Ovis aries: one gene and its partners. The protein of the gene in region 1 interacts with the protein of each later gene in a pairwise test. Links are inferred from orthologs where the notes say so. Each region holds a gene or a part of one and is shown in the gene's direction. Other genes may lie near its edges.

The links.
Region 2: the proteins of GRB10 (region 1) and GIGYF2 interact in a two-hybrid assay, tested with the Homo sapiens proteins (2 studies listed by BioGRID). The link is inferred for Ovis aries from reciprocal best matches to the Homo sapiens genes GRB10 and GIGYF2.
Region 3: the proteins of GRB10 (region 1) and GIGYF1 interact in a two-hybrid assay, tested with the Homo sapiens proteins (2 studies listed by BioGRID). The link is inferred for Ovis aries from reciprocal best matches to the Homo sapiens genes GRB10 and GIGYF1.

What each region holds. Positions count from the first base shown.
Region 1 is NC_056057.1:6,104,022-6,108,571, forward strand, and holds part of GRB10 (growth factor receptor-bound protein 10), read left to right. Parts: intron 1-1,029; coding exon 1,030-1,107; intron 1,108-2,739; coding exon 2,740-2,856; intron 2,857-3,669; coding exon 3,670-3,736; intron 3,737-3,941; coding exon 3,942-4,029; intron 4,030-4,550.
Region 2 is NC_056054.1:8,170,965-8,175,514, reverse strand, and holds part of GIGYF2 (GRB10-interacting GYF protein 2), read left to right. Parts: intron 1-1,956; coding exon 1,957-2,153; intron 2,154-3,099; coding exon 3,100-3,259; intron 3,260-4,550. UniProt on the Homo sapiens protein: Key component of the 4EHP-GYF2 complex, a multiprotein complex that acts as a repressor of translation initiation. In the 4EHP-GYF2 complex, acts as a factor that bridges EIF4E2 to ZFP36/TTP, linking translation repression with mRNA decay.
Region 3 is NC_056077.1:36,335,515-36,339,254, forward strand, and holds part of GIGYF1 (GRB10-interacting GYF protein 1), read left to right. Parts: coding exon 1-27; intron 28-243; coding exon 244-415; intron 416-521; coding exon 522-906; intron 907-986; coding exon 987-1,106; intron 1,107-1,247; coding exon 1,248-1,348; intron 1,349-1,476; coding exon 1,477-1,559; intron 1,560-1,644; coding exon 1,645-1,791; intron 1,792-1,861; coding exon 1,862-2,089; intron 2,090-2,309; coding exon 2,310-2,494; intron 2,495-2,570; coding exon 2,571-2,731; intron 2,732-2,817; coding exon 2,818-2,981; intron 2,982-3,066; coding exon 3,067-3,438; 3' UTR 3,439-3,740. UniProt on the Homo sapiens protein: May act cooperatively with GRB10 to regulate tyrosine kinase receptor signaling. May increase IGF1 receptor phosphorylation under IGF1 stimulation as well as phosphorylation of IRS1 and SHC1.

The sequences.
Region 1 (4,550 bases):
AGAATCAACTCATTAGAAAAGACCATGATGCTGGGAAAGATTGAAGGCAAAAGGAGAAGTGGGTGGCAGAAGGTGCAATGGTTATATAGCATCACCAACTCAATGGACATGAATTTGCGCAAACTCCAGGAGAGAGTGGAGGACAGGAGCCTGGGAGTCACTAAGTTGGACATGACTTAGTGACTGAACCACATCTCAAATGTTTGTTTTGATCTGTTCTCTCTCCTCCTGTCTCACTGGGGTGTGACTGTATCTATGGTAGACATTTTCATCATGTTCCAAATATGTTAGCTTCAGAAGTGAGTACTTACTGCTGGTCCTTGAGCTGGAAATGAGCTCCCATCCGTGAAGAACAGTGAAGAGGAAGATGCAGCCCGCTGGATTCCTCTTTCCTCTTCCTTTTTTCTTCTCTCTGTGGTTTGAAGGTGTAACTGAGGAGTGCAGGTTGAAACGTCAGGAGTGTAGGAGGCTTTGCAGGATGCTCAGTGCTTATTGACTGAGGAAATAAAGCCCAAACTGCTGAGCTGGTTGGGCAGGGAGGCTGGTGGTTAAGAAGAGCACTGGTTTGGAAGCAGGATTGTACATTCAGAACCTGAATCCTTACTTTACCATGACCTTGAGCAACTTGCTTCACTTGCTGTGTTCTCTTGTTTGTGAAATGAGGATAAAGTACATATTTCATAAAATGGAGAGGATTAAATAAAAGAGCAGCATAAAGCACTCAGAGCTTTGCCCATAGCAACATTTAGTAAGGCTAATTGTTCTTGCTAGTCCTTATTATGTTGTTACTTCTTTGACCACTTCCTGCCCACCCAGCCCCCCCAGACAGATAGTGGTAACTGACTGTGGAGCATTGGTGGTGGCAGGCCCAGAGACAGGGCTCTGTTGGGTGTTTATTCTTAAGTTCACCCAATTGTCGCCCATTATTCTGTATGAGTGTGGCTCTTGAGTGCCAAGGGTTTGCCCCGTGTGGGGCTTTAGGGCTCCGGATGCCCTGGTGACTGACTCTGGCCCTCCTTACCTCTTCAGTATGGGATGCTCCTTTACCAGAACTACAGGATCCCACAGCAGAGGAAAGCCATGCTGTCCTCCTTCTCGACTCCAGTGGTAAGTCAAGCTGCGCCTCTGAAGCCACATTGCTGTTCAGCTGCTGCATCAGCACGGGCTGTGGGCATCTTTTCTCAGATGAGGCTGCCCGGAGGAGCCAGAATATCCTACCAGCGTGCATTTCCCAGGAGATGGGCTTTGTCGTCTGCAGTGTGACTGCTGGGAGCAGATCCCTGTCTACCCTCTCCCCTTTCCCACATCTCCCTGCAGTGTTGCTTTGGTGAATGGCTCCCACTGAGAGCTCCATTCCAGTGTTCAGAAATGTTGACAGCAGCGCCCACGTCTACTGAGGAGCTGCCTTCATTCACCGCCTTCACTTCTGTCCATTTCAGCTGTGGGTCCATGGTGCTGTTGACCATGATTCTTGAGTCCTTGTGAAAACTGAGATTGTAGTGAGTCTTCCTGGGATCTCAGGATGGACTTTATGTCCCAGAGGTGTAGAAACACTTCATCCTTCCCAAATACGATCTTAACACATTATTGACTGGGCGATGTATCAACACATCTTTTGTTATCCAAATGTTTATTGGCCAGGAGTGTCAATACATTTTTAGAAAGTGATCGAATTAACATCACTGTGCGAAGTTGTTAGATCTTAAAATTGGTCAAAGGGTCATGATACAGTTTGGATTATTGTTATCACTCGTGTTTTGCTCCATTAGGTTTTTGTAGCACCTTGTGCATATTATAAATGTGAAATTTTCAAAAATGACGCATCGAGAAATTTTGAGTGAAAAATTTTTTTGGTGAATTTTATGCAGATATTTTCTCTGAGTGTCTGAATGACATATATGTTAGTGTCTCAGAAGACGATAGTTCTTCAGAATATAGTTCTGCTTCCGACTGTGAATATCAGACCAACAAAAAGACAGAAAACCTTAGTGATTGATTCTGAAGCAGAAAGTGAAAATGAAGCTCATGGTGCTGGAGAAAACTTTACAAGGGTAACTGTTGAATGTGACAACCTGCAAAATGTTAGTGAAATAACAGAATTAATGTTTTAGCCAGCCAAAATAAAAATCTTCACCAACCACAGGTGTTAGTTTCTGCAGAAATCCCCCAGTTGATAATGAGTTAACAATCTCTGGATGTCCATTCCTCAGAGATGTCAAAGTACCCACAGAAGCGGTGCCCGTGTTTCTGTGAACTAACTTACCTGAGAAGGGATTTGGCTGCTGGTGAGGGCTTGCTCGCCTTTGATGTTAGCATTTCTTGGATGAGTTTTTGTGGGGTTTTTTGTAATGGAGGAGAAGGAAAGAATGACTTTATTACTTTGCCAGGCAAAGGGGGACCACAGCAGGCTAGGTCCTCAAGAACTGTGCTCTCCTTTTAATTCACATTAGAGACCCTGTGGACGACCCCACGGGTGGACACCAGTGGCCTCACCAGCAGCTTCCAAATATCTTCAGAGAATTGGAAGGTTTCTTTCCTCTTCTTGAGAAAAACCAAAGCCATTTTTCATCCCAGGGCCCTTCAGACACTGAGTGTTCTGTCCGATTCTTGGCGGGGGTGTCCTTGCCTGTCCCTTTGCTGCCCCTCCCTGGGTCTGCACAGCTCTCCCACGCGGCGGTTCCCACCTGCTGCTCCGCTTGCTTCTCTGCATCTCAAGAATCCACGGCCTCTCCTTTGCAGCGCAGCGTCTCTGAGAACTCCCTTGTGGCAATGGATTTCTCTGGGCAAACGGGAAGAGTAATCGAGAATCCAGCTGAGGCCCAGAGCGCAGCCCTGGAAGAAGGCCACGCCTGGAGGGTAAGGCTGTGGCCCGGCCCCACCCCTGGTCTGCCCCAGAGAAATGGCCCTGTGCTGGCGGCAGGGATGCGGTGCGAGGGAGGAGGGGTGGCTGTGAGTTCTCGCCTGCAGGAGGCTGTGGCTTGCCTGGGCTCCTCCACGCCCCCGGCACCTGGCCACCCCCACGGGCCGTCCCTGGGCTCCCATGGAAGGAGGGGCAGGAGCAGAGCCCTGAGGCCCCGTGGCCCGCAGCCCTGTCCCTGCTGATGTATCCTCAGGGCCTCTGGGGAAAGCGCTGGGCCAGGCGTTCCCATCGCAGCTCAACCGCTGACCAACCTCCCACCCTTGAACAGTCTCTTTACTCTGAGACTCAAGTTCCAAATCTCCAGATGGAAGAATTTCGCTCAACTTCCAAGCTTTTCTGAGCTTTCAAGGCAACTCTGGCTCAGAGAGCCTCCCCGTTTGGAAAAGGAGAATGTGCCCAAAGCCACAGGCCTGAGTCCCCTGTGGGAGCTCATGGTTTTCTCCTAAGGTGTGTCGGGCACTGTACTGCGTGTCTTCAGTGTGACGGGCGCAGCCCGGCTTCAGTACTGGGATCCTTAGCAATATGCTGGGGTGGGATGCTTCTGGTTTTGCTTTTAACAACTGCGACCCATAGCTGTCTGCCCTCCTGCTCACACGGGAGGGGTCCTTGTGACCACATGGGACTGGGCGGCTGTCGTCCCGCCATCAAGGGCCTTTCACCGGGCCAGCTTCCTGCCGCGGTGTGTCCCAGGTGGCGCGGTGATTGTGTTCGCGGCTTACTTGGCGCTGACGCGGGGATTTCTTTTGCAGAAACGAAGCACGCGGATGAATATCCTAGGTAGCCAAAGCCCCCTCCACCCTTCCGCCCTCAGTACAGGTAAACACGGCATGTTGGCTTGATATTGTTGTACATAAATAACATAAAAGCGCCCCCAGCCCTCCCCAAACCTCACGGCGGGCCTGGCGTGCAGCGCACGCAAGCTGGGACCGCAGGAGTCGGGGCCCCGTGTGGCCCGAGCGTGCTTAGCAAGGCAGCGGCCGTGCACGGAGCCCGGCCTACCCTCCTTCTCTGGTCCCCACAGTGATTCACAGGACGCAGCACTGGTTTCACGGCAGGATCTCCAGGGAAGAGTCGCACCGGATCATTAAACAGCAAGGGCTCGTGGATGGGTAAGGGACGCGTCCCGGGCGGGAGTCTGCTGGGCTCAGCTCCTCAGAGCATCTTCCCGTGTGTGTGTGTGGGGGGGGGGGGGGGGGGGGGAGGCTCAGGAGTATGAAGGTGGTGCAGGATTTGCATGGCTAGGAAGTGGACAGAATGGCAGTCCGTTTGTCCAGACCCCATAATCCTCCTCCACCTATTTGATGCGGTTGGAACAGCCAAAGAACACACTCTAATTAATAAGGCAGTAGGCGAATGGAAAGGTGGCTTTTTGCCTATACCTTTTACTTTATGCATTGTATCTTTGACTTTTGCCCCAACTACCCCAAACCTCAGTGGCTTAAAGCAGCGAAGCTGTATGCCCTGTTCACAGTTGGTGCAGGTTGGGTGGCTAGCCGCACTGGGGCCTGAAGAGCTGGGGCCAGGACGGCTGCACTAACATATCCAGTGGCCAGTGCTGCTGTGGATGGGTGATGCGGCTGCCGGGTGCAGGCCTCTCGCATGCTAGCCTGCCTGGGTCCGTGCACTTCAC
Region 2 (4,550 bases), on another chromosome or scaffold:
TGTGTGAGAGGATTTCCGTTCAGTTCAGTCGCTCAGTCGTGTCCAACTCTTTGCAACCCCATGAATCGCAGCACGGCAGGCCTCCCTGTCCATCACCAACTCCCGGAGTTCACTCAGATTCACGTCCATCAAGTCAGTGATGCCATCCAGCCATCTCATCCTCTGTCGTCCCCTTCTCCTCCTGCCCCCAATCCCTCCCAGCATCAAAGTCTTCTCCAGTGAGTCAACTCTTCGCATGAGGTGGCCAAAGTACTGGAGTTTCAGCTTTAGCATCATTCCTTTCAAAGAACTCCCAGGGCTGATCTCCTTCAGAATGGACTGTTTGGATCTCCTTGCAGTCCAAGGGACTCTCAAGAGTCTTCTCCAACACCACGGTTCAAAAGCATCAATTCTTCGGCCCTCAGCTTTCTTCACAGTCCAACTCTTAGATCCATACATGACTACTGGAAAAACCATAGCCTTGACTAGATGGACCTTAGTCGGCAAAGTAATGTCTCTGCTTTTGAATATGCTATCTAGGGTATCCTTAATAGAAAAAGAGTGGAAGTTTTGAGGAGCACATTTGGGAGGGGAGACAACAAATTCAGGCTATGAACATGGAGTCTGAGGTGTTGGTGAGAAATTCAGTAGAGATGGCCAGAGAGCAGTTGAGAGTGAGGGGACTGTAGCTCAATGGGACGAGTTCTGGGCCACAGAGAGAATGAACATTTAAAAGATTACATGCACTGTTAGGAGTGAGAAGAAGTGGACTGAGAACAGTACCTGGGTAATCCCTATTTTTAGAGGGTAGATAGAGGAGCCAGAGAAAAATCTTGGCACGGCAAGAAGAAGAGTGCAGGAAAAGGAAGGAAGGAGAACGTTCCAGTTTAGAATTGGGAAGATAATGTCAGACCTAAGGTTCAGTGATGGGGACTAGGAAAAACCATTGTGTTTGAACACTTTGGGTGAATGCTTATCTTTGGGAGAGAAGCTTTCGGCTGTTGGAAGTGGAAGTTACCTTATAGCTGGTATGGGTGGTGGTGAAGTAGAGAAAGTTGTATAGACGTCACACTGTCCTTTTAAGAAGTCTGTCAAAGAATTTGGAGAAGCTTGTTGTAATTGAACAAACAAGATTTCAAAGAGGAAACTACTGTTGTATCTAATTACTTCCATCCCCCTTTCCTCCTCAAGAGCCTGAGTACTGAGAGGTTAGAAATAGGAACCAAGACAGAACCTCTTTTGTAGTCTTTACTCTTATTGTGAAGAACCTCCTGCTCTGTACGGGTAGACCCAGTGAACTTTTTGTTACCCTGCAGAATGTGTTGAATTATGGTCATTATAAGTCGAAATAGGTAATTATTCAAAGTAATTGCAGATGTTTTTAATAAAGGTTTTTATGCTTCCGTTGTAGCTCAGCTGGTAAAGAACCCGCCTGCAATGTGGGAGACCTGGTTTCCATCCCTGGGTTGGGAAGATCCCCTAGAGAAGGGAAAGGCTCCACTCCAGTATTCTGGCCTGGAGAACTCCGTGGACTGTATAGTCCAAGGAGTCATTAAGAATTGGACACGACTGAGCGACTTTCTCTTTCACATGCTGAGATATGGTGTCTTTGAGGAGATGCAGTGCTGTTTACTGTCTTTACAGCTCAGAGACATGATGTAAAGAAGGGATTGGACTAATTCTGTTTGTTTTCAAGAGGTAGACCTGTAACTATTGGGTAGATACTCTAGTGACACAGTATGGCATTGCAGAAGCCCTTTCTGGGTACGTTTTAATCTTACTTGTTGTCACCCTATGGAGGTAATTCATCATTCTGGGGAGGAATACACACTTCTCCATAAGAAGTAGCAGCAGTATTCATGACATGGTTCACAAATCTGTTGAGCCCATTTAGCAAGCTGCTCAACTTGATGCTTGTTATTCTTTCCAAGAGTCTCTTTTAGAGGATTTTCATCTGTCTACATTTTTTTTCTCTAGAAGTGGTTCCTGATGTCCAGCAGCCCCTGTCGCAGATTCCTGCAGATACAGCCTCTCCGCTCCTCATCCTCCCTCCTCCTGTCCCCAGCCCTAGTCCTGCCCTCCGGCCAGTGGAGACGCCAGTCGTTGGTGCTCCTGGAATGGGCAGTGTTCCCACAGAGCCAGATGATGAAGAGGGTCTCAAACACTTGGAGCAGGTACAAGTCACATAATTCTTTCTTTCCTCGAGAACTGCCATAAAAATTGAAAAGCATTAAATGAATATTCAGAAATGGAACTTTTGTGCACTAGATTTTGTGTACTGAAAAACTTGTTTTTACATCTAGTATTTATTTGTATGAGTAATTGTCTTTCAAGTCATTTCATGCTTTTAAGTTTCTGCTATGTAGTAGTCATTAAGTCAGGTTATTTTTTGCTCTTCTGAGGTTGCCCTGAGCTGTTTCCTTTTCTTTTTTCTTTTTGGAAATTAATGGAATGCCAGAAATGGCAAATACAAGCAGCTGTGGATAGGCACTGTATCGTCTATATTTTTCGCCTGAAGTGTAACAGGGAAAACAGAAATACCATCATACTGATGTCTCTAGAGTTCCCTAACGTTTTTATATACTGCTGCTTATATGTAAGGTAAATGATAGCTTGCTTTCTACAGAGGAAATTCTCTTTCCTTCAGGGTACAGTAGTTGGTGGCAGGAAGTATTGCAGAAAGGAATAAAAACTTGTAAAAGATTTTATTTGTAATGTATTATAATTGAGCTTTTTGATCTATTAGCACATGTTTTTGCAGATTTAGTTTGTATAATTTAGGATTATTTGTTTAAATGGCACTCTTAAGTGTGTTGATAAGATGCTTAGATTTTGATCTGTTCCAGTTTTAGTCTCATTTGAGTTTTCTTGATAATTTTGAAACCTTAAGCAAGACTTGATCCCCCTGAACCTGCCTTAGTTCACAAAGTTTCCCCCTTTGTGAAATGAGGATCGTACCTATTTCATGGCATTATTGGATGGATGAATTGTTGCCTGCTGTGTCCTTTGCACAGTGCCTCTCACAGATCAGGTAGTCCAAAAGAGACAGACAGTTGTGTGTACAAGTATTAATTTAGGATCATTTGTTTCCACAGTTCATTTTTTAATTTTTTCTCTTAGCAAGCTGAGAAAATGGTGGCTTATCTCCAAGACAGTGCACTAGATGATGAGAGACTGGCATCAAAGTTGCAAGAACACAGAGCTAAGGGACTCTCAATTCCACTGATGCATGAAGCAATGCAGAAGTGGTATTACAAAGATCCTCAGGGAGAGATTCAAGGTAGGTTGTTCCATTCTCCTCTAAGTAGAGAAGTATGCCATTACCTCCAGATTCTCTAAGATGGTGATTCAGTCGTTCAGTCACTCAGTCGTGTCCAACTCTTTGCGACCCTGTGGACTGCAGCATGCCAGGCTTCCCTGTCCATCACCAACTCCCGGAGCTTGCTCAAACTCAAGTCCATTGAGTTGGTGATGCCATCCAGCCATCTCATCCTCTGTCATCCCCTTCTCCTCCTGCCTTCAGTCTTTCCCAGCATCAGTCCTTCCAGTGAATATTCAGGACTGATCTCCTTTAGGATGGACTGGTTGGATCTCCTTGCAGTCCAAGGGACTCTCAAGGGTCTTTTCCAACACCACAGTTCAAAAGCATGGTGGTTATTTAACATTAATTTGTGTAATTGTAGAACAAAAGTCAGCGCTACAGGCTTTCTTCTTTTGTATAGATGTTTCATTAATAGGTTCCCTCCTTAGTACTTTACATTTCAATGATGGGAGGGAGTCCAGTGAAAATAATTTGAATACAAGGCAGATTGTGATCACTAATATGATGGGGCGGGGAATAGTCAGTATACTTAAGACTCCCTCATTTCTGGCATGCCAGCTATTGACTGGGCAGTTGAGTTTCATACATTCACTGTATTTTAGGCACCTTATTAAAAAAGATGATGGCAATCATCTTGGAAAAGCTTGTTTGAATGTTTCACTGAAATGGAGTTGATATCATAAATGACAAAAGAAATATTTAAAATATTTGAAAAGGGTACCATATTTTAAACTAATTGCTTAAAGTATGTGTATGGTATGTAAGTTAGGTTAGAATGCGGAGAGTGTGTTGTGAAGAATATCTGCTGATTTTTCATTTCTGCATTTTGAAGTTTTTGCTTGTAACCTGAATTTCATTGTTGACTGTTACCTCTCTTTAACATCATAATTTCTTTTCTATCCTCAGTCCCCCTCCCCTGCTTTATTCTTCCTTATAGTATCTATCACTGCATGGCACTGTGTATATTTTTTGATTATCTGAATTTGCATGCCTGTAGAATGTTTTAATTAAAACATATATAGGTATGTATTTTAATTATATTTATTTTGGGATAATTATAGCTTTACAAACAGTTGTGAGAAATAATACAGGGAGTCTATGTACCATTTACCCAGTTTACCCCAGTGGTAACCTCTTGCAAAACTTTAACAATATCACACCCAGGATATTGACACTGATACAGTCAAGATTCAGAACAGGCTCTGAATAGTCTTTAACAGAACAAAAGTTTTAAATTTTGATGAAGTGC
Region 3 (3,740 bases), on another chromosome or scaffold:
GATGAAGGCTTGAAGCACCTGCAGCAGGTGTGGGGCGGGGGGTGGGGGTGGGCTGCAAAGACTCTAGGGACCCTCCCGTGCAGGGGAGAGAGCCTTGGTTCTGTCCTCGATCAGGTTCCCACCTTCTCCCCATCTTGCTCTCCATGTTCAGACCTCATCTCCTGACCCCCCCCCTCAGTCCCAGCCCCCTCTGTGTTGATGGAAGTGGCCAGTTGAGACTTCCCTCTTCCCCTGGGCTCCCAGGAGGCGGAGAAGCTCGTGGCCTCCCTGCAGGACAGCTCCCTGGAGGAGGAGCAGTTCACGGCCGCCATCCAGGCCCAGGGCCTGCGCCACTCTGCAGCCGCCACTGCCCTCCCCCTCAGCCACGGTGCAGCCCGGAAGTGGTTCTACAAGGACCCGCAGGGCGAGATCCAAGGTGCACAGGGTTGGGGGTGCAGGTGGGGCTCGGAGACTGCACCATCCTCGTCGAGGGCTTCTCTGGCCCACCTCTGTGACCGCCCTGTGCCCTTCCCTTGGCCTAGGCCCCTTCACGACCCAGGAGATGGCGGAGTGGTTCCAGGCGGGCTACTTCTCCATGGCTCTGCTGGTGAAGCGGGGCTGTGATGAGGGCTTCCAGCCTCTGGGTGAGGTGATCAAGATGTGGGGTCGCGTACCCTTCGCCCCCGGGCCCTCACCTCCCCCGCTGCTGGTGAGTGTACCCGCTTTGGCGTGGAACAGGGAAGGGAGGCAGGAGCCCGGCAGAGGGAAGCGGTGGGTGCAGAGCCAGACGGGGGCAAAGCCACGGGGACGCTGTGGCCTCACTCAGGGGAACATGGACCAGGAGCGGCTGAAGAAGCAACAGGAGCTGGCAGCAGCCGCCTTGTACCAGCAGCTGCAGCACCAGCAGTTTCTTCAGCTGGCCGGCAGGTACGGGGGGCTTAGCAGGGCTGGTCAGCAGGGCCCATGCTGACGTGGGCAGGCCCACCTCTCACCTGCTCGCTCCTCAGCAGCCGCCAGCTCCCGCAGTGCATGCTCCGGGAAAAGGCAGCTCTGGGAGACCTGCCGCCACCACAGCAGCAGCAGCTCACCGCGTTCCTGCAGCAGCTCCAAGCTCTCAAACCCCCCAGGTGTGTGGGCCGCCGTCCTCGCTGTGTGCCCGTGGCCAAGCGTGTGTGGCGTGTCTGTACGTGATGGCCCTCGGGTGGTGTGGGTAGAGGGGCAGACAGGAGGTGGCTTCAGGGCGCTGAGCTTCGGTGCTTTCTCCTCAGGGGCGGGGACCAGAACTTGCTCCCGACGATGAACCGGTCCTTGTCGGTGCCAGACTCGGGTCCCCTCTGGGACATACATACCTCAGCCTCACCACAGTCAGGTGTGTGGCCCGCAGCTGCCCTCCTGGCCTGTCCTAGGTCTGGGAGTCCCCTCCACCCCCGACGGCCTCCAGTGGGTTGGGGGGCCGGGGGCTGGAGCTCCCCTCTGCAGCTGCCTTTGCCCCCGCAGGTGGTGAGGCCAGTCTTTGGGACATACCAATTAACTCTTCGACTCAGGGTCCAATTCTAGAACAACTCCAGCTGCAACACAAAGTGAGTGGGCCTCGGGCTGGCGTTCTTGGGTGTCAGGGGCCAGGCCACAGCTGGGACGGCCTGGCATCTGATCTTGACCCTCCAGTTCCAGGAGCGCAGAGAAGTGGAGCTCAGGGCGAAGCGGGAGGAGGAGGAGCGCAAGCGCCGGGAGGAGAAGCGCCGCCAGCAGCAGCAGCAGCAGGAGGAGCAGAAGCGGCGGCAGGAGGAAGAGGAGCTGTTCCGGCGCAAGCAGGTGGGGCCCGGCCTACGCAGGCTCGGGGTGAGGGTCAGGGGGCGGCCCTCACAGCGGCTTCTCTCCCTAGGTGCGGCAGCAGGAGCTGCTGCTGAAGCTGCTGCAGCAGCAGCAGGCAGTAGCCACTGTCCCCGTGCCTCCTGCGCCCAGCTCCCCGCCCCCGCTGTGGGCCGGCCTGGCCAAGCAGGGCCTGTCCATGAAGACGCTGCTGGAGCTGCAGCTGGAGGGCGAGCGGCACCTGCACAAGCAGCCTCCGCCTCGGGAGCCATCGCGGGCTCAGGCCCCCAACCACCGCGTGGTGAGCAGGCTTGCAGGCACCTTCTGCTCAGCTCCCAGGGTGACCGGGGTGGGGGGAGGTGGGGGGGCGGCGCACTAGTCCCTGTCGGACTCCGGAGGCGCTCTCTGCTGTGAGGCCCTCACCTCACCCTGCCTTTGCCACCTGAACGCAGCTCCCCGCTCAGCACCCCTGAGCATGCGCTCTCCTGTGTGGGTCACCCTTGCCTTCCTGCCGTCTGCAGCAGGTCGGGGGCCTGGGCTCCGCCCCCCTGAACCAGTGGGTATCTGAGGCCGGGCCACTGTGGGGCGGGCCCGACAAGAGTGGGGGCAGCAGCGGCCTGGGACTCTGGGAAGACACCCTCAAGAGCAGCGGGAGCCTGGCCCGGAGCCTGGGCCTGAAGAACAGCCGCAGCAGCCCCTCTCTCAGGTGGGTGCCGGGCCACAGGAGGATGGGGAGCGGGCCTCCTGAGGGGACACCTCCTGACTCACCCCATCCCGCGCAGTGACTCGTACAGCCACTTGTCTGGTCGGCCTGTGCGCAAAAAGACAGAGGAGGAAGAGAAGCTGCTGAAGCTGCTGCAGGGCATCCCCCGGCCCCAGGATGGCTTCACCCAGTGGTGTGAGCAGATGCTGCACACGCTGAGCACCACGGGCAGCCTGGACGGTATAGGCGTCACACCTACCCCAGGAGGCTGGGCCAGGGGTTCCAGACGCCATCCCGTGGGTCCTGACCCCCATCCTGCCCCGCAGTGCCCATGGCTGTAGCGATCCTCAAGGAGGTGGAATCCCCCTATGACGTCCACGACTATATCCGTTCCTGCCTGGGGGACACGCTGGAAGCCAAAGAATTTGCCAAACAATTCCTGGAGCGGAGGGCCAAGCAGAAGGCCAGCCAGCAGCGGCAGCAGCAGCAGGTGCGGCTTCACAGAGCCCTGGCTGGAGCGGGTGAGGGCGCCCCGAGTCCCCTGACCCCTCTCTTTCCTCTCTGTTGCCTTGCAGGAGGCTTGGCTGAGCAGCGGCTCCCTGCAGACAGCCTTTCAGACCAACCACAGCACCAAGCTCGGCCCCGGGGAGGGCAGCAAGGCCAAGAGGCGGGCGCTGATGCTGCACTCGGACCCCAGCATCTTGGGTGAGTGTGGAGCGGGGAGGTGGCTCCTTCCTCAGAACCGGGCAGGAGCCTGGGTGGGCGAGTTCAAACCCAGCTTCCCCTGGCTTCAGGGTACTCCCTGCATGGACCTTCTGGTGAGATCGAGAGCGTGGATGACTACTGACCAGCCCGTCCCACCAGCGCCCTGGGCTGTAGGCCAGGGGCAGCAGCAGCGGCTTGGACCCCTGGGTCCCCAGCCTGCAGGCTCCCCACAGGGAGCATAGGAGGAAGCAGGGGCAGGGTCCCCAGCACTTGTTACAAACCACACGATGCACCTTAACTCACCCACCACGAGGCACTTTACAGATTGAGGGGGGAAGGGTTTTGTTTTTGTTTTTTTGGTTTTAGTTTTAAACGACATTGAAGGAAACATAGGAGAGACAAAAAAAATGGTTAAAAAGTAGACTCTAAGCACTCCCTTTCCCTTTGTCGGATAGTGGGAGTGATAATGGAAGATCCACAGAGGTGTTTTTTTTTTTTTTTTTTTAAGAAAAAAGAAAAACAAACAAAAAAAATGGTTAGGAGA